Ovis aries: one gene and its partner. The protein of the gene in region 1 binds, or shares a complex with, the protein of each later gene. Links are inferred from orthologs where the notes say so. Each region holds a gene or a part of one and is shown on either strand. Other genes may lie near its edges.

Region 1 (9,910 bases):
ATCTTTTCCAGCTACAGGGACTTTTCCAGTGAGTCATCTGTTCGCATCAGATGACCAAAATATTGGAGCTTCAGCTTCAGCATTAGTCTTTCCAGTGAATATTCAGGGTTGATCTTCCTTAAGATTGACTGGTTTGATATCCTTGCCATCGAAAAGATTTTCAGGAGTCTTCTCCAAAACCACAGTTTAAAGGCATCAGGCATCAATTCTTTGGCATTTTGCCTTCTTTATGGTCTAGTTCTCACAACTGTACGTAACCACTAGGAAGACCATCAGTTCAGTTCAGTTGCTCAGTCGTGTCCAACTCTTTGCGATCCCATGGACTGCGGCACACCAGACGTCTCTGTCCATCACCAACTCCTGGAGTTCACTCAGACTCGCGCCCGTCGAGTCAGTGATGCCATCCAGCCATCTCATCCTTGGTTGTCCCCTTCTTCTCCTGCCCCCAGTCCCTCCCAGCATCAAAGTCTTTTCCAATGAGTTTACCCAGATTCATGTCCATTGAGTTGGTAATGCCATCTAACCGTCTCATCCTCTGTCATCCCCTTCTTCTGCCTTCAATCTTTCCCAGCATCAAGGTCTTCTCAAATAAGTCAGTTCTTCACATCAGGTAGCCAAAGTATTGGAGTTTCAACTTCAACATCAGTCCTTCCAAATGAATATTCAGGACTGATTTCCATAAGCATGGGCTGGTTGGATCTCCTTGCAGTCCCTTTGACTCTCAAGAGTCTTCTCCAACACTACAGTTGGCAAAAATATCAATTCTTTGGTGCTCAGCTTTCTTTATAGTCCAACTCTCATGTCCATACATGACTACTGGAAAAACCATAGCCTTGACTAGACAGACCTTTGTTGACAAAGTAATGTCTCTGCTTTTTAATATGCTGTCTAGGTTGGTCGTAACGTTCCTTACAAGGAGTAAGCGTCTTTTAATTTCATGGCTGCAGTCGATGAAAATCACATCTACAGTGATTTTGGAGCCCCCCAAAATAAAGTCTCTCACTGTTACTACTCTTTCCCTATCTATTTGCCATGAAGTGGTGGAATCGGATGCCATGATCTTCGTTTTCTGAATGTTGAGCTTAAAGCCAGCTTTTTCACTTTCCTCTTTCACTGTCATCAAGAGGCTTGTTAGTTCTTCTTCACTTTCTGCCATAAGGGTGATGTCATCTGCATATCTGAGGTTACTGATATTTCTCCCAGCAATTTTGATTCCAGCTTGTGCTTCTTCCAGTCCAGCATTTCTCATGCTGTACTCTGCATATAAGTTAAATAAGCAGGGTGACAGTATACAGCCTTGACATCCTCCTTTTCCTATTTGGAACCAGTCAGTTGTTCCATGTCCGGTTCTAACTGTTGCTTCCTGACCTGCATACAGATTTCTCAAGAGGCAGGTCAGGTGGTCTGGTATTCCCATCTTTTTCAGAATTTTCCACAGTTTATTGTGATCCACACAGTCAAAGGCTTTGGCATAGTCAATAAAGCAGAAATAGATGTTTTTCGGGAACTCTCTTGCTTTTTTCCATGATCCAGCGGATGTTGGCAATTTGATCTCTGGTTTCTCTGCCTTTTCTAAAACCAGCTTGAACATCTGGAAGGTCTCGGTTCACGTATTGCTGAAGCCTGGCTTGGAGAATTTTGAGCATTACTTTACTAGCATGTGAGATGAGTGCCATTGTGTGGTAGTTTGAGCATTCTTTTGCATTGCCTTTCTTTGGGATTGGAATGAAAACTGACCTTTTCCAGTCCTGTGGCCACTGCTGAGTTTTCCAAATGTGCTGGCATATTGAGTGTAGCACTTTCACAGCATCATCTTTCAGGATTTGAAATAGCTCAACTGGAATTCCATCACCTCTACTAGCTTTGTTCGTAGTGATGCTTTCTAAGGCCCACTTGACTTCACATTCCAGGATGTCTGGCTCTAGATGAGTGATCACACCATCGTGATTATCTGGGTTGTGAAGATCTTTTTGTACAGTTCTTCTGTGTATACTTGCCACCTCTCCTTAATATCTTCTGCTTCTGTTAGGTCCAGACCATTTCTGTCCTTTATCGAGCCCATCTTTGCACAAAATGTTCCCTTGGTATCTCTAATTTTCTTGAAGAGATCTCTAGTCTTTCCCATTCTGTTGTTTTCCTCTATTTCTTTGCAGTGATCACTGAAGAAGGCTTTCTTACCTCTTCTTGCTATTCTTTGGAACTCTGCATTCAGATGCTTATATCTTTCCTTTTCTCCTTTGCTTTTAGCTTCTCTTCTTTTCACAGCTAAAGGCCTCCCCAGACAGCCAGACTGCTAAAATAATTGCCAAAATGGCTAAAAGCATATTCCCTTCCTGTACTTTTCCCCCTAGTTTGCCTAGTTTCCCTCGTTTGCCCCAGTAATGTACATTACTGCAGTACATTGTCAAATCCTGGAACATGACCTTGGTATAATACTATTAACTCAGATACTGGCCTATTTCGTCAGATTTAGAACTTCTGCGAGTGCACAAACACACATGCAGAGTTCTGTGAAATTCTGTCTCTTGTAGACATGTGCTTTGTAATGTTTCTAAATCTAATTTTGAGGTTTTCAGCAGTGTTAAAAATGATCTCAGATACCATTCTCCAGATTTTTGGCCTCCCACATTTACATATGAATAAGATGAATGGCCTGCTTTGTTCCTTTATTATTCTTGTTGCCTTTGCTTTCCACACTAGAAATGCTTTTCAAATTTTGCCTCACTAGTATTATAAGTCATATTACTCACCAGGTCTTTTTTTTTAATGTAAATTTATTTATTTTAATTGGAGGTTAATTACTTTACAATATTGTATTGGTTTTGCCATACATCAACATGAATCCGCCACAGGTATACAGGTGTTCCCCATCCTGAACCCCCCTCCCTCCTCCCTCCCTGAATCATCCCTCTGGGTCGTAACTAGTACATTACCTTCTTATTTTCTTCTGTTGATCACTGACCTACTTAACAACCCTTCATATCTTTTCTGACAATAAAATCAGTGGTAGAAGAATCTGCCTGCCAGTGCAGGAGACACAAGTTCAATCCCTGTGTCAGGAAGATCCCCTGGAGAAGGAAATGACAACCTACTCCTCGGAAATCCCATGGACAGAGGAGCCTGGTGGGCTACAGTCCGTGGGGTTGCAAAAGAGTCTGACATGACTTAGCAACTCAACAACAACAACAAAATATTTCTACAGGAATGTTAACAGAGTTCTAAAGTTTTTTCTTTTGCCTACCCTGCCCTACTTGTGAGAAACACGCTCACCAGCTCAAACCCAAAGAATGGAAGTAAGGCTTTAATGATAGTCTTGCAAGATCTGGTGTCTGATGGGCAGGCACACCCAGAGTCATTACAGGGAGCATCTTATCCCTAGAATGCAAGTCCCTCTCCCTGTTCCTCTTTGGCTGAGTACCAAGGGGTAAACAGTCTTCCTGGATGTCACCTAGGTTTGTTCCCTCCCTCTTTATGATCTCCTCCCACCACCCCGCCACATCTTATTTCCTCCTTTTCTGTGTACCTATTCCAGTTCTTAGGTTTTGAATTCACCTGTAGGATGAACCTGCACGAAAATCTTAGGCATCTCACCCTCCCTTTGTTTGCCCAGACTTTGTAGTTTTGTATCCCTTATGGCTATCAGCTATTGGCTATTACATCAGCAAGCTCTCACTCAATGCTAGATGTTCTTGAAAACGGACCATTTTGGTTTTTTATTTCTTACACTACTAATTAGAAATATATTTCTGGTAAATAATTTACCAGTAATTTTAGAATCAGCAGGGGTAGTGGGTTGGAAGAAGATGAACTGAATTGTTAAAATCCTTTATTCATCCTTTAAAAATCACACTTCTGATGTTTTTAGATAATCTGCTAGGTGTATTATTTTACTAAAAGCCCACTCTATTAGTTTCTGTATATTGTAGGAAATATTTGTCTGTATGTTACTTACAGACTTTCTAAAACAAAATGCTTAAGTTAAAATTTTATAATTTAATTTCTGCAGCTGTGCTCAGTACGTGCTATATTTATTTATATATGGGCTTCCCAGGTAGCTCAGTGGTCAACAGTCCACCTGCCTATGCAGGAGACTCAGGAGACAGGAGATCCATCCCTAGGTCAAGGAAGATCCTCTGGAGAAAGAAATGGCAACCCATTCCAATACTCTTTGCCTGGGAAATCCCATGGACAGAGGAACCTGGCAGACTACAGTCAGACATGACAGCGCACGTGCACACACACACATTTATATATGTTCTATATGAGATATATGCATACCTGCTAATATGTTGCTGATATTTAAGGTGGTAATTGACTTTATTCAGTAGGATTCTAGATTAATATGCAGTGCTATGTGTGACAGCTGAAGAAAAACCACAGTCTATCTGAACATACTTGTTATATTTCTTACAGGTTCTGAGTTCTGTACGTACAGAATGGGATCCACTGGATGTTCGCTTTAACACCAAACATCCTAATCAAGTGTTGACAGTGGAGTGCTCCATCAGTGTAGACAAAGAGCCCATGGCTGACAGCTGCATCTATGAATGTGTTCGGAACAAAATCCAGTGTGTATCAGTCACCAGAATACCACTTAAGTCAAAGGCCATTAGTTGTTGCAGGAATGCTGCTGAAGACAAACTGATCCTGGGCTGTGAAGATTCTTCAATAATTCTTTATGAAACTCACCGTAGAGTGACTCTCTTAGCTCAGGCTGAACTTCTGCCTTCGTTAGTAAGCTGCCACCCAAGTGGGGCCATTCTGCTAGTTGGCAGTAACCAAGGGGAGCTGCAAATATTTGATATGGCTCTTTCTCCTATTAACATCCAGCTTTTGGCTGAAGACAATTCACCTAGGGAGACTCTACAATTCAAAAAATTCTTTGATGTTTCCAGCAGTCTTGTTCAAATGCAGTGGATAGCGCCTCAGGTTGTTTCTAAGAAGCTTGAAAGTGGGGACATCTATAATCTCCTCTTTCTCAGGTTTGACAGAGGACCTTTGGGTGTACTTCTGTTTAAACTTGGTAAGTCAAGGAAGTTGGTGAGTAAATAAATTTTTTTATGATGACAGTATAATTAAGACAGTAAAACTGTTCCTGGAATGTAGATTTTTTTGTTTCTCATCCCATCAATATGCTTACATTTCAAACATTTCATGTAGTTTTCTTAAGAAAGTTTTGTGGATGATTTTCTAAAATCTCAAGGTCCATTATATATTGAAAAATTTTGAAATTGCATTAATTTTCCATCACATGAGTAAAAAGCCTGAGCTGTCCATATATGATGCTTTCCAAACTAAACTGGCTACTAAAAAAATTCCTTAAGAAATAGTACATATGAGAATATTTTTAAGTACTTACTATGTCCATTGTAAAATTCTGTGTGTAGGGATATAATACTTTTCCTATTAAGTTATTTTAGATGAGTGTTCATTTCTTTCCAGATTGAAAATATGTAAAACAAGAGTTTTAAAAGAAGAGGAAGGAAAATGCTTGGTTAGAATTTGCTGAAGATATTTGTGTAACTTTATGTTTTTCTTTTAGATAAAAATATTCAAAAAATTATTTCAATATTAGGAAAATTATGTATTAATGTATACTATTTCAACATAATTTTTATTTGCCTTCTATAGGTTTGTATTACCAGCTATGTCCTTAAATATATGATATTTTTAAGGCAGTTTTGATAATTTAACATTCTTGAGAGGAACTTGCTTAGGTTTTAAAAATCATGTTTCAATTAGTGCACATTATTGTCCATCCTAAAGGAGATCAGTCCTGGGTGTTCATTGGAAGGACTGATGCTGAAGCTGAAACTCCCATACTTTGGCCACCTTATGCAAAGAGTTGACTCGCTGGAAAAGACCCTGATGCTGGGAGGGATTGAGGGCAGGAGGAGAAAGGGACCACAGAGGATGAGATGGCTGGATGGCATCACTGACTCGATGGACATGAGTTTGGGTAAACTCCGGGAGTTGGTGATGGACAGGGAGGCCTGGAGAGAGTCAGACATGACTGAGCGACTGAACTGAACTGAACTGATTGCAACCTGAAAACATAGAAAAGTAGATACATTTCAAAACCCCTTACACATTTGGCTCTGTGGCACAAAGTTAAGTTTTTAAAAAACATTGTTTTTTAAGTAACTGTCAGTTTACTTTTTGTTTTTAATGGATCTACTTGCCTCTGAAATAGAACGAATGAAATAAATCTAATGAAAATGACTTAACTTGAAAGCTATCAGGGATATAAGTGAGGCCTATGTTCTTTTCACATGAAAAAAAAAGAACCTAAATCCATTCATAACATTAGTATTATCCAATAAAAATATGTTTGGAATCTCATTTATTATGAGATAATCCAGTTCTACTTTGCCCAACTACATGTTTAATAGTGGTGTGTCTCCACACACAACACTTATTAAAGTGGATGTTAGATGTTTTGCATATTTGTTGAAACTCTCTCCCTCTCTCTGTATCCCAGTTACCTGTCAAACAAGAAGGCAATCTACTAACATATACCTAGCTTTTCTTCAGCCCTCCCTTGTGGGCCTACTCACAACAGCTTTGCAAAAAGCACAGCTTTCTCTTCCTATCTCTAGCACATTTGCCTTCTTACTAAAGTAAACAGGCTCTCAGTGTAGGGATTTAGAGGGCTTCCTGCTAATTGCCAGCTTGTAAACTTAATTGGACTATCTCCCTGGGCACTGTTCCTAAATCAATTAGGCAATGAGTTGGCTGTCACCTCTTTTTCCCAAGTAGGTCTCTTGGAAGAGAATTATCCAATAGAAGTCAAGCATTCAAATGAAAAGGTGATAACTTCTGCAACTGACATTTATCATTTAAATTTTATTTTCATTATGACTTATAAGATTTATAGAATAGGGAAATTTTACAGTCTTACACGGTCTTTAAAAGAACAAAACATGGAGTTTCCCAGGATTTTTGAGAATGAAGTGTTTTTGAGATTTTTGAGAAGATTATTGTTTATTATATATTATTTTTCCTAGGAAGAGTAGATTCCTTGAAACAGTATATTCCAGCTAACAGATCTTTTTCTTTCTTTCTTTTTTTTTTTTTTTAAAGAAAACCCTGTTTAAAGAACAGATTTTTCTTAGGATCTGCTACTAAATACATCCAGAAATTTTAATATACTTCTTGAATTAACACAGTGCTGATTCTGGGCATCCATGTGGAATTTTCATGTATAATTCAAGTTACTGCATATATAAACAGGTAGTTTCATGTGCAGTTTCCCCACTAGAGAGCATTTATGAGATGTTTTTCATATGCTTGTTATGCAAGCCTTTGGAAATTTTGACATGAAAGGTGTAGCGTACAATTTAAGAAGCTGAGATAGATCATAGTTTAAAATAGAATGCTGTCATATGTAAACGTGTCAGTGGCTGCTGCCAATATGCTAAGATTTTTGGAGTCTGACTCTTAGAATAGGTCAGTTAGTGTAATGTTGAAGGAAAACTCTGTTGAAGGCTAGAGCTTCCATTCTAAATCCTTATAATTATCACACAAATGCCACTGGAGGTTAAAAGGCCATCACCACTGTTACTATAAGAATGTGAAAAACTAACATGTCTTCCTCAGGAGGGAGCAAGAGGTGTCATCCTTCTAGGTAGAGGCAGTATGTAATCAGAATTTCTTTACCTAACAATCATTATTCATATTTCCATATATGTAAACTGGGATTAATTTTAAAAAGAGGAGTTCCTAGTTCTATTTCTTAGATAATAAAGCTTTTCCATTCTCTTCATCACCTTTTCCAACTTTCACTGCTCTCTTTAAACTCATGTGATCAGCTTCTTGCCCTTTCAACAGAGAATCTCCCCTTTTAATAGATACTTCATTGACTTTATCTGCTCCTCACCACCCACCCAACCACTTACCTCCATGTAATAAATCTTTTCAGTTTCAATTCAGTGGGATAGGAGCCTGCCTTTTACCTACGACTAGTTCCACGCTGGATCCCACAGCATTCCCCTTGACGCCTTTACTCTGTCACCTTCCCCACTCTCCCCATGAATCTTGCTACATCAGCAGGCTCAGGCCCAAGCCACACCATGAAACAAAGCAACATACATCTGTTCCTTAAAATTGTTTCCCCTCTGTTATTAATCAAATGTTCACCGTCGTTTCACAGTCAAGCTCTTAATAGAATAGTGAACACTGAATTTCTCTGCTTCTTCGCCCCCATTCCCCCTCACAGCACCACCTTCTGGCTCTTCTCTTCAATCTTCTCCTGGAGCTGCTCTTGGAAAGTTCACCAGTGACTTCCTACTTGATACACATATTTTTCTTCAGTTACTTGATGACTTTTCAGCATTTGATGGCTCCTGACCACATTACCATCAAATTCTCATTGTTCTTGCCTTCTGTGACTCTCAATGCAACTTTCTGGCACTTTTTTATGCTCTTCTTCTGCCTCCTCATGAAAATATTCAGGCTCTCCAAGGTTCCATCTTTAGCTCCCCTCCCATTTTATGCAAAATGAGAGTTTCTTTCTTTATTTTTTTAAATTATTTTTAATTTTTAAATTTTAATTGAAGGCTAATTACTTTACAATATTGTAGTGGTTTTTGCCATACATTGACATGAATCAGCCATGGGTGTACATGTATTCCCCATCCTGAACTCCCCTCCCACCTCCTTCCCCATCCCATCCCTCAGGGTCATCCCAGTGCACCAGCCCTGAGCACCCTGTCTCATGCATCAAACCAAGAGTTTACTTTTTATTTTGGTATCCTGTCTCTGACTTCAGCCTAGGCCACTGCTCTCCACACCCACATGTTAACCTAGCCTACAGGAAACCTACCCCTTGAGTCTGCACAACTGCCTCAGATTTATTATGTGCAAACTTGAAGTTGTCATCTTTCTCCCTGCTTTTCCTCCTGTGTATTTCAGTTTAAGGGATGTTATAGTTATTTAGATGGACAGAATTACAAGTTAGAAATCATCCTAGAATCCTCCCTCATTCCTAACGCCATATCCAGTCAGCAATGAAATGCCATCAGTTCTGAGGTTTTGTTCTGTCACTCAATCGTGTCTGACTCTTTTGACCCCAAGAACTGCAGCATGCCAGGCTTCCCTGTCCTTTACTATCTCCTGGAGTTTGCTCAAACTCATGTCCATTGAGTCGATGATGTCATCTAACCATCTCATCCTCTGTTGCCCCCTTATCTTCAATCTTTCCCAGAATCAGGGTCTTTTCCAATGAGTTGGATCTTCACATCAGGTGGCCAAAGTATTGGAGCTTCAGCATCAGTCCCTCTAGTGAATATTCTTGGTTGATTTCATTTAGGATTGACTTATTTGATCTCCTGGTTGTCCAAGGGACTCTCAAGAGTCTTTTCCAGCACCACAGTTCAAAAGCATCAATTCTTTGGTGCTCAACCTTCTTTATGGTCCAGCTCTCACATCCATACATGACTACTGGAAAAACCATAGCTTTGACTAGATGGACCTTTGACCACAAAGTGATATCTCTGCTTTTTAATACAACGTCTAGCTTTGTCATAGATTTTCTTCCAAAGAGCAGGTGTCTTTTAATTTCATAGCTGTAGTCACTGTCCACATGATTTTGGAGCCCAAAATGGAGTCACTCTTTCAATGGTTTCCCCATCTATTTGCCATGAAGTGATGGAATTGGACGCCATGATCTTAATTTTTTGAATGTTGAGTTTTAAGCCAGCTTTTTCACTCTCCTCTTTCACTTTCATCAAGAGGCTCCTTAGTTCATCTTAGCTTTCTACCATAAGGGTGGTATCATCTGATTGTCTGAGGTTATTGATATTTCTCCTGGAAATCTTGATTCCCACTTGAGCTTAATCCATCCTGGCATTTCTCATGATGTACTCTGCATATAATTTAAATAAGCAGGGTGACAGTATACAACCTTGAC
Region 2 (10,385 bases), on another chromosome or scaffold:
TTTTGACACTTTATGTTAGGTATTTTACATGCATTGACTCATTGGATTCAACAGTCCTGTGAAATAGGTACCGATATCCTAACTCACAGGTAGGAAAAGTAAAGTGTGGAGAGATTTTTCACTCAAGATTAACCCCGTGATTGTTTCTAAGGCAGGGAGAGTTCTGCCTGCCGGGCTCAAAACTAGGAGGTGGGAATGGTTCCTGTTTAGGAGATGGTCAGTGCGCCTATAGGTAGGAAGCATAGAACCAAAGGAAGGCTATGGGCATTTTTCCCCAAGTTTGCCTTTAACCTGAGGATCACTAGGGCTACTTTTCAAAATAGAGCTTTTCAGGCTCCTCCCCTGGAGATTCTGATCTTGTTGAAGTGGGGTAGGATTCTAAAGCTGTATGTTTAACAAGCATCTCAGGTAAGATGTGTCAATTAGTTAAGTTTGACAGTTTGATTAACTTGATTAATGTATAACAGGAAATCAAGTCTCTAATTCTGTATTAGTGCCTAGTTATTTGTAGAATTGGAAGGTGGTGTTTTTAGAGACTTCACAATTTGGATTTTATTCTCTGTTTAATGGGGTGGCATTGAGACTTATGAGCAGGGTATGAAATTATCAGATGCTTATAGAAAAAAATGAAGTGTTATTTATAATAGAAAATGTGTGCATGCATGCTAAGGGACTACAGTCGTGTCTGACTCTTTGCAACCTATGGACTATAGCGTGTCAGGTCCTCTGTCCATGGGATTCTCCAGGCAAGAATACTGAAGTGGGTTGCCATTTCCTCCTCCAGGGCATCTTCCCAACCCCGGGATCGAACCTGTGTCTCTTATGTCTCCTGCATTAGTAGGTGGGTTCTTTACCACTAGCGCCTTTGTTAAAATTTAAAATGTCTTTTTTTAACCCTAAAGACTCCACCAGAAAATTACTAGAGCTAATCAATGAATATAGTAAAGTTGCAGGATATAAAATCAACACACAGAAATCCCTTGCATTCCTATACACGAATAATGAGAAAGTAGAAAAAGAAATTAAGGAAACAATTCCATTCACCATTGCAACGAAAAGAATAAAATACTTAGGAATATATCTACCTAAAGAAACTAAAGACCTATATATAGAAAACTATAAAACACTGATGAAAGAAATCAAAGAGGACACTAATAGATGGAGAAATATACCATGTTCATGGATTGGAAGAATCAATATAGTGAAAATGAGTATACTACCCAAAGCAATTTACAAATTCAATGCAATCCCTATTAAGCTACCAGGCACATTTTTCACAGAACTAGAACAAATAATTTCAAGATTTGTATGGAAATACAAAAAACCTCGAATAGCCAAAGCAATCTTGAGAAAGAAGAATGGAACTGGAGGAATCAACTTACCTGACTTCAGGCTCTACTACAAAGCCACAGTCATCAAGACAGTATGGTACTGGCACAAAGACAGACATATAGATCAATGGAACAAAATAGAAAGCCCAGAGATAAATCCACACACATATGGACACCTTATCTTTGACAAAGGAGGCAAGAATATACAATGGAGTAAAGACAATCTCTTTAACAAGTGGTGCTGGGAAAACTGGTCAACCACTTGTAAAAGAATGAAACTAGATCACTTTCTAACACCGCACACAAAAATAAACTCAAAATGGATTAAAGATCTAAATGTAAGATCAGAAACTATAAAACTCCTAGAGGAGAACATAGGCAAAACACTCTCAGACATAAATCACAGCAGGATCCTCTATGATCCACCTCCCAGAATGCTGGAAATAAAAGCAAAAATAAACAAATGGGATCTAATTAAAATTAAAAGCTTCTGCACAACAAAGGAAAATATAAGCAAGGTGAAAAGACAGCCTTCTGAATGGGAGAAAATAATAGCAAATGAAGCAACTGACAAACAACTAATCTCAAAAATATACAAGCAACTTCTGCAGCTCAACTCCAGAAAAATAAACGACCCAATCAAAAAATGGGCCAAAGAACTAAATAGACATTTCTCCAAAGAAGACATACGGATGGCTAACAAACACATGAAAAGATGCTCAACATCACTCATTATTAGAGAAATGCAAATCAAAACCACAATGAGGTACCACTTCACACCAGTCAGAATGGCTGCGATCCAAAAATCTGCAAACAATAAATGCTGGAGAGGGTGTGGAGAAAGGGAACCCTCCTACACTGTTGGTGGGAATGCAAACTAGTACAGCCACTATGGAGAACAGTGTGGAGATTCCTTAAAAAATTGCAAATAGAACTACCTTATGACCCAGCAATCCCACTTCTGGGCATACACACCGAGGAAACCAGAATTGAAAGAGACACATGTACCCCAATGTTCATCGCAGCACTGTTTATAATAGCCAGGACATGGAAACAACCTAGATGTCCATCAGCAGATGAATGGATAAGAAAGCTGTGGTACATATACACAATGGAGTATTACTCAGCCGTTAAAAAGAATTCATTTGAATCAGTTCTGATGAGATGGATGAAACTGGAGCCGATTATACAGAGTGAAGTAAGCCAGAAAGAAAAACACCAATACAGTATACTAACACATATATATGGAATTTAGGAAGATGGCAATGACGACCCTGTATGCAAGACAGGGAAAGAGACAGATGTGTATAACGGACTTTTGGACTCAGAGGGAGAGGGAGAGGGTGGGATGATTTGGGAGAATGACATTCTAACATGTATACTATCATGTGAATTGAATCGCCAGTCTATGTCTGACGCAGGATGCAGCATGCTTGGGGCTGGTGCATGGGGATGACCCAGAAAGATGTTATGGGGAGGGAGGTGGGAGGGGGGTTCATGTTTGGGAATGCATGTAAGAATTAAAGATTTTAAAATTTAAAAAATAAAAAACTAAAAAATTTAAAAAAAAAAAATGTCTTTTTTTTTTTTAACTTCCAATAAGGTGCTTTTAAAATGAGGAAAGTCTAACTTTATTAAAGAGGCACTGAAAGCATTTTAATTTTAGAATGGAATCTTAGGGATTGTGGTGAGAATATGTATGTTTTAAGATGAAATATAATATAACTATTATAGCAGTTCCACCTTTTAATAGTATCTCTAATTTTAAAAGTAATACACCTTTATTTTGGGGGGTGGGTACTCAATATTGATGGAAATATGTTTCTTTTCTTTCCTGACTCCACTCTCTTGAGGCTTCTGACCCCATTACTTTCCCCATCACTTTTACCTGACAAGACTGTCTTCTAACTACTAGAGAAAATAAACACCATCACATGGAGACTGCCTTAGCCTCCTGAGTGACACTGGCAAGTCAGCATCCACACCTGCATCCTCCTCTGGGTACCAGCAGCAGAGAAGAGGTGTTGAGCAAGGTCATATCTCTCCATCTGTTCCTTAGGTGCCATCTCTTTCTGTCATCATCCCTTTACCCATTTATCCCTTTATGAACTAGTCCCCTGTTTTCTAATATTTGTGGTATGTGGACTTCTCTTTTCAGGAAAGACTTACAGATTTCCAGGGATGACAAACTTTACTATAATTTAAAATAAGCAGGTGTAAGCTCTGTGCTTTACAGCTCTTTCATAAGATAAAAACAATTTTATAAATTAATACAAATAAACTGCAAAACAAAATTAAATAGCTAGTTAAAAATTATTAAAAAGCAAATTTAGAAATCAATAAAATAAAACCATTAAACTTAGGATATTCAAATATACATAATTTAATGTGACAAATGAAACTAAATTGCAGCTTGAAAGTTTAAATATGTAATGGCTACTGCCCAGGTTCTTTTGGGCAATATATATGCCTATATCTCTCTGGGCTATGGGATGACTCATCTTTCACTACTCTTCACTGTTTAGAACATAATATTCTGTAATGACAAGATAAGTTAAGCCTTCCTCTAAGAAATCTGCTGTGGCCCTACATGTCCCAAGTTTGTTTTCCTTTGGGTATTCCATTAGAACTCTGTATTTATCATAGTACATTATACGTTATAAATTTCACATTCATCTTTCAGTCTCTACCATCTACCCATATAGTTTAAGTTGAATCCCCAGCCCTCATCCATTGAGATCATAAAATAACATTAAGATCTTTTTAAAAAAATTAACGGCTATAATAGGAACATTTTCCCATGCATTGCTTTTGAAAACATTTCTATTAAGATCATAATATTCATCATACTTTATATTTAAAGACATTTAAATTTTACCCTTTTGCTGAACATTAAGCTTGCTTTCAGCTTTTTATAAGTTTTATAAATTTTATTTGCAGCTCTTATTTTCTTAGAATAGATCTCTAATACTGAATTACTGATCTCTAATGGAAAAGACCCTGATGGTGGGAGGGATTGGGGGCAGGAGGAGAAGGGGACGACAGAGGATGAGGTGGTTGGATGGCATCACCAACTCAATGGACATGAGTTTGGGTAAACTCTGGGAGTTGGTGATGGACAGGGAGGCCTGGCTTGCAGCCATTCATGGGGTCACAAAGAGTTGGACACGACTGAGGGACTGAACTGAGCTGAATAGTTGAATTACTGGGTGCTGAGGAGTAAGGATAATCTAATGGTTAATGACTTCGGCTCTTGTTGGCTTTGTCTCCTGCTACCCGTGTGACCATAACCCAGATGAATAACACCTCTCTAAGCTTCAGTTTCCTTATTTTAATATAGAGAAATTTAGTTCATGTATATTCGTATACCTATGAACAAGTAATTAGAGCAATGGCCGAATCTAAATAAATGCTATTATTTTGTACATTCCAAAAATAGTTGATGCAAGTATTCGCAAAAGACAGGTAAATTTTACCTGTGTACCCTTCCAACTTCAGTGACTAGAACACTTCATCAAATTATAAAATTTTCAGTTAGAAAATGAACACGCAGTTGATTTCACAATATTGGCACCAATTTGAAGCACCTCAACAACATCTGCTTGGGAGAACTATGAAAATATTTACTTCTGTGAAACAGTAAGAAAACCAAAGAAATAATGGCGCATGTTTACATTAACACCTACATGGTATTGCTTAAAAGCGTCTATTCCAAGCACGTACAGAGACGTAGAGGGTAGTTTCCTTTACTCTAGGGAAACCCAAACGGAGCCCATCTAAGGTTTTGGACAGACGTTCGGCGTAGCAACAAAGTGCAAACTGCAAGAAAAAGAAAAAATCCAGTGGGCCTCCACTAGATTTAACAGGTTAAGCTGTTCCAAATGAGAGTCTTTCGGGGAGCGTAAGTGGTTAAATTTTAGCTTCTTCCATTCTTCCCGGATGTCCTAGAAATTTTAGTTCATTGGCTCCTTTCTGGGGGGGTCTCAGTTCTCGCCAAGAAGCTTCCCCGTCTCCCTGGCAACCTGAGCTGCCACCAATTGCAGCTGAGGATTGGTGGTCACGTGGCCCCGGTCGTTGCACTAGAGGAGGCAACATGGCGGCGCCGGCAAGCAGTAGATGCGGGGTTTGAATTACTCTACTTGTAGCGGCGGCATCCCTGCTGATGGCGTCTCTGCCGTTGTGCGGTTCGGTTCGGAGCCCAGAGGGACTTCCTGGAGACTCTTCTTCACAAGAAGAAGATCAGGATTATGATCCTGAAGATCCGGTCAGCGACTCGGGTTCATACTCCCCGACGAGTACAGACTCTAAGTAAGGTTCTCGAAGAGGGACAATTAAATCCATCCTTTCTGTCCCGAAAGTGTACACGTGGGTTGGGGAGACTTCGAGAGTGTTGGCGTGGTAGAGAATAATTGTTTGAGGTTCTATAATAAGTGGGGGTTATTTGCACCAGGTTTCAGCTGTGCGATAATGTGAGCCGAAATGACTGTTACTGTACATTCTTTGTTATTGTAGGTTTTAAGGAGGAGGGTCTCTTTGGTGAGTTTTGTAATATATCAGAGTATAATCTGCTAGAGTGTTCACAAAATTCTGTTCTGTCGCAGTGTCTTCTTTGGTGTCATGATCTTTGTGACTTTAATCTCATTAGTATTTAGAGTGAAGGGACACCTTCTGCGTTTGGTCAACTATTTAAATTACGTAGGTTTTTCTGCCGTTATAAAACTGAATAGATATATAAAAGAAAGTAGATCAACCCTAGCCTCACCATTGAGAACAACCTCTCAACTTTGGGGGGGTATTTCTGCTGTATTTTAGCTTTGGGGGGGTATTTCTGCTGTATTTTCCTATGAACTTACATGGTTTTCTTGTTTTCTGTTTTGTGTCATAATGTAATTTTTAAATGCAGAGTATCTTAAGTATTATTTTCTACTTTTTTAATCCCTAAAAATGATGCAAAGTTATTTTTGTTCCCAGTACCCAATGCTGCTTCAGTTTTGAAGGCATTTATTCCTTACTGCTATGGATTGAGAACTTTTTGAAAAGGTCAATTAAAGTAATTAGTGTTTGCTTGAAACAACTAGCTATGAAACTGTTCTGGTGCCAAAGCATCAATCAGTGACTGCCATATATAGTCATTCTTAGAATGACATTTTTATGTATTTAAACATAACAGGAGTATATAATGTGTATTTTAGGAGTATCAGTTACTTGGCAGTTATTTTCACCCATAGATATATAAAACATTTTTATCATTATCTTTAAAAAGCAGTAGGAGAAAACCATCACTACTGGCTGCTTAAATGTGTTCTAAAGGCTTAGTGGGGACAGATTATATTCTGGAAGACTTAAGCAAATTAAAGGATATCAAACACTTTGTGTAATCTTCTACTGTGGTCATTTAAAAAATAATTTAAAAATTCATGGCTGTCAAGCCAGGCTGCTTGAAGGAAGTATGGATTATGTGGAACCTTCTTTGGTCTTGCTATTGGAGCCATAGACAATGTGAGATTCAAACTCTTGGTTTCTCTACATCGTAGAATCGCACACTTTTAGTTCAGAGAGCATCTATAATTTTCTTAAGGTCACACAGTTGAGTGTTGTCAGTGGAGAAATTTAGAACTGTTTTCAAAGGGGGTGTGTTGATTTTGATGAATCAATAAATGAGCTAGCCCTGTTACCTGGGAAGTGAGCAAGCTAAGTACCTTGTGTTAGAAAATGTGTTATTTCAAAGCATTTTCTGATTCAGAGAGTTGGACAGGACTGGAGCAACTTAACATGCATGCTTGCATTAGAGAAGGAAATGGCAACCCACTCCAGTATTCTTGCCTGGAGAATCCCAGGGACAGAGGAGCCTGGTGGGCTGCCATCTATGGAGTCTCACAGAGTCGGACACGACTGAAGCGACTTAGCAGCAGCAGTGTGATTCCGAATACATGTATATATGTATTATATTTTAGTTTTTTCTTTAATGGCCTTTAAATTTTCTGTATCAGTCATTTCCTGATCACTCCATATGTCCCAGTATCTTTAACATCCTAATAATAAGACTACAGGAAATCTCGACGGTAAACTGTTTAGCTGGTCTGTATTTGAAGTCCTACCAAGATACAGTTTTTATGGCTGGCATTTCTTGGTGTTTAGAACATACGAGTTGATATACTGACCTGACCAGGTAGGCTTCTGTCTGTTTTTTCCTTATGATATTTACCTCCCTAAGGTGCAGAGTGACCAGTGCAAGCGATGGCCTTCCCCGCTTGGACAGTACACTGGAACATGTGGATCAAAGATGTAGGGATGTGAACCTAAGCTTTCTCATCAAAGCTAAGAGATGAATTGCTTGTTGTCTTTCATTGCCTACATGGAGGTTATTAAGGAAGTTACGCCACTTACTGATTCACATAAAGTGTTCTGAACTTTCAAGGTTCCAGTTAATTTCTGCATATTCTTTCTGGAAATTGTCATTGTTTCTGACATGCTTTCAAACTGAAAACCAATTTGAGCTGCAAGTTATTGTCAATACAGAATAAGTTTATCATTTTTTAGAGATGTCTTTAAGGTACATTCTGGTTATAGTACTTTTAATAGGTACTTACAAGAGGAAATTTTTAAATTAGTGCAGTACCTCCTAACCTGGCATTATTGGCTAGTCCCTGAGGAAGCTTCAGAGGTAATACTGGAGGGTGGGTTGGGTTGAGGGAAAAATGACAGAAATACATTTACTTGCAATAACTCCATGTTTCTTTGCTTTGGTTTACAGTTATCCAGCTCATTGAAGCCACATTGGTTTGTGTTGGCCAAAGTTACCAGTTCTCATAAAATTGACCTAGAGTTTTGATTTTTTCAAAGTGAATTGTTTATTGTTGTGAGTTTTAAAACTTTGACTGATGGGGAGAAAAAGGGATACTTTAGAAAGAGAGTTAAGCTATAAAAAGCTGAGGAATGTCCACTGAAAATAAGAAGAATGACTGGAGACGAGAAATATGTCCTTTACGTTTTTTTCTGGGATATTTTAACATCTTTATTGAAGTGTAACTGACATATAATAAATCTTACATATTTAAAGTGTACGATTTGATAAGTTTTGACACGTATACATCTGCCAAGGTAATAAACATATCCTTGTCTTCCAGAAGTTTCCCTGTGTGCCTCCCCAATACTACTCATGCCTGCCTCACTCCTTACAACCACTTACCTGCTTTCTGTAGTGATAGATGAGTTTGTATTTCCAGAGTTTTATAAAAATGAAATCATACAGTATGGACTCTCTTTTTTGTCTAGCTTCTTCTACTCTGCATACTTATTTTGAGGCTCATTCATATTGTTGCCTAAATGTAGTTTTCTCCTTTTTATTTCAGAATAGGCCTCCATTTATTTCTGAATAGGATTGAGCATAGTTATTTTGAGATTCATTGTGTTACTTATATGTAGTTCTTTCCTTTTTATTTCTGAATAGGATTCCTTGGATATATCAAAATTTGTCTTTTTCTTGGGTTTTAATGTGGGAAGGTGCTAATTGAAGAATAAAAATGTTTCATTCAGAGTTATGGTGCAATATATTATTAATAATATCCAGTCTAGTGCAACATTTTCCTTTTTCTCTCCTACTCGGAACCTTGACTTCTCTTTTCTTTTTTCTTTTATCAAATTACGTCAATTAAAAAGTCAAACAGTATGTAGCTAGGCTTATGATGAGATATGGTAATTCTCTGCCACCATCTCCATCTCAGCATATTGAAGAGAATTCACTGTCTGCCTTGTTTCTCCACTAGTGTTGCCCATCTCATTTGCTGACCTCACTCTCTTTTCACTCAGGTCTTCAGATCTGATAAGTCTCCAATCCTGTTGACTTGCTTTTCTAATATCCACCTACCACCTCCTTCCCCTTCTCACAGGCACCGCCTTACTTAAATGGCTCGCCTGTCACTTATACCAGTGGAGTAGCCTTATAACTGGTCCGGGTGCTTCTAATTTCTCCTGTTTTCTGTCTTTCTTCCATACAGCTGCCTCTGTTTACTTTCTAAACTATAGTTCTAAATTATTTTTCTTGTAGAGAACCTATTACAAAAAGATACAGTGTAGCAGTTTGGATCAAAAGTATAATTGAACACAAGCATGAATATTACCAACAAAGCCAGCTAAAATGAAGTAGCTATCCATGTGCTTAACCAGATCATCCTTATGATCAGGAAAAGAAGGCTGAGATTAAAAAACTTATCTAATATTTCAGGTTTGATCACTGCAGACTGTATTGTTCAGAGAATTCAACCACTTCGATTACAATGAAATTTCTTATAATGTAGCCTGAAATAACTGAAACTTTGACTAATTTTGTTAGTATCCATAGCATATTTGCAATGTCAAAATACTTTTTTCAGCAGATTATTACGAGAGGCATTTTGGTTCAGTGTAATAAGTACTGGATTAAGAGTAGGGTTCCGAAAACCCGAAAGTGTTGACATTTTAATTTCATCAAGTTTTCTCTGGTTTTTAGGAATTCAGAATTAATTCTTGGTTGTAACTTATTACTTTACAAGATGTCTCAAGAGCGCTATATTCTAAGGGGCAAACACTTTAAGGGAAAATAAAGGCTGAATGTATAAGCATTTCTGTCTCTTTGGAAATGAAATCTTTGTGTGGCTGCCTTAGAAAAGACATGCTTTTCTTCAACATAAAACTATCTTCCTGGTAACTGGGAAACTTTATGGGCCTTCATCTTTTTTAACTTTTATTTTAAACTTGGAAATATTAGAATAATTGTGTTAGGGCAGTGTAACTACTATGTGTGATGCTATATAGTGGTTGGATGATACATGGCATCATACATTTGTCTAAAGCTGTAGATTGTACAACACCAAGAATAAACAGTAACGTAAATTATGGCTTTTGGGTGATTATGATTATGAGTTTATCAATTGTAATAAATGAACCACGCTGGTGAAGGATGTTGATAGTGGAGGAGGTCATGCATGTCATGGGGAGGGAGTATATGAAAAGTCGCTGTACCTTCAGCTTAGTTTTGCTGTGAACGTGAAACTGCTCTAAAAAAGAAAAATCTAT

What was found.
Region 2: the proteins of WDPCP (region 1) and INTU are in contact, whole or in part, in a cryo-EM structure (PDB 7Q3E), measured with the Mus musculus proteins. The link is inferred for Ovis aries from reciprocal best matches to the Homo sapiens genes WDPCP and INTU. Residues at the interface, in NP_663400.2 of Mus musculus: Phe3, Cys4, Leu5, Ile24, Leu51, Ser54, Arg55, Asp56, Lys93, Leu385, Ala386, Glu387, Asp388, Tyr389, Ile427, Lys446, Leu447, Gly448, Ile449, Leu450, Thr451, Arg452, Gly453, Leu455, Leu462, Gln463, Ile465, His466, Tyr467, Gln487; in NP_780724.3 of Mus musculus: Val481, Gln484, Val488, Asp491, Ser495, Asp496, Glu498, Ala499, Ala500, Asp501, Ser506, Glu507, Asp508, Arg513, Arg514, Thr517, Ser532, His533, Leu534, Pro535, His574, Tyr593, Glu610, Gly613, Cys614, Ala615, Ser616, Lys617, Ser653, Pro654.

The regions. Positions count from the first base shown.
Region 1 is NC_056056.1:44,884,537-44,894,446, forward strand, and holds part of WDPCP (WD repeat-containing and planar cell polarity effector protein fritz homolog), read left to right. Parts: intron 1-4,413; coding exon 4,414-5,023; intron 5,024-9,910. UniProt on the Homo sapiens protein: Probable effector of the planar cell polarity signaling pathway which regulates the septin cytoskeleton in both ciliogenesis and collective cell movements.
Region 2 is NC_056070.1:30,207,153-30,217,537, reverse strand, and holds the start of INTU (protein inturned), read left to right. Parts: upstream 1-5,407; 5' UTR 5,408-5,493; coding exon 5,494-5,639; intron 5,640-10,385. UniProt on the Homo sapiens protein: Plays a key role in ciliogenesis and embryonic development.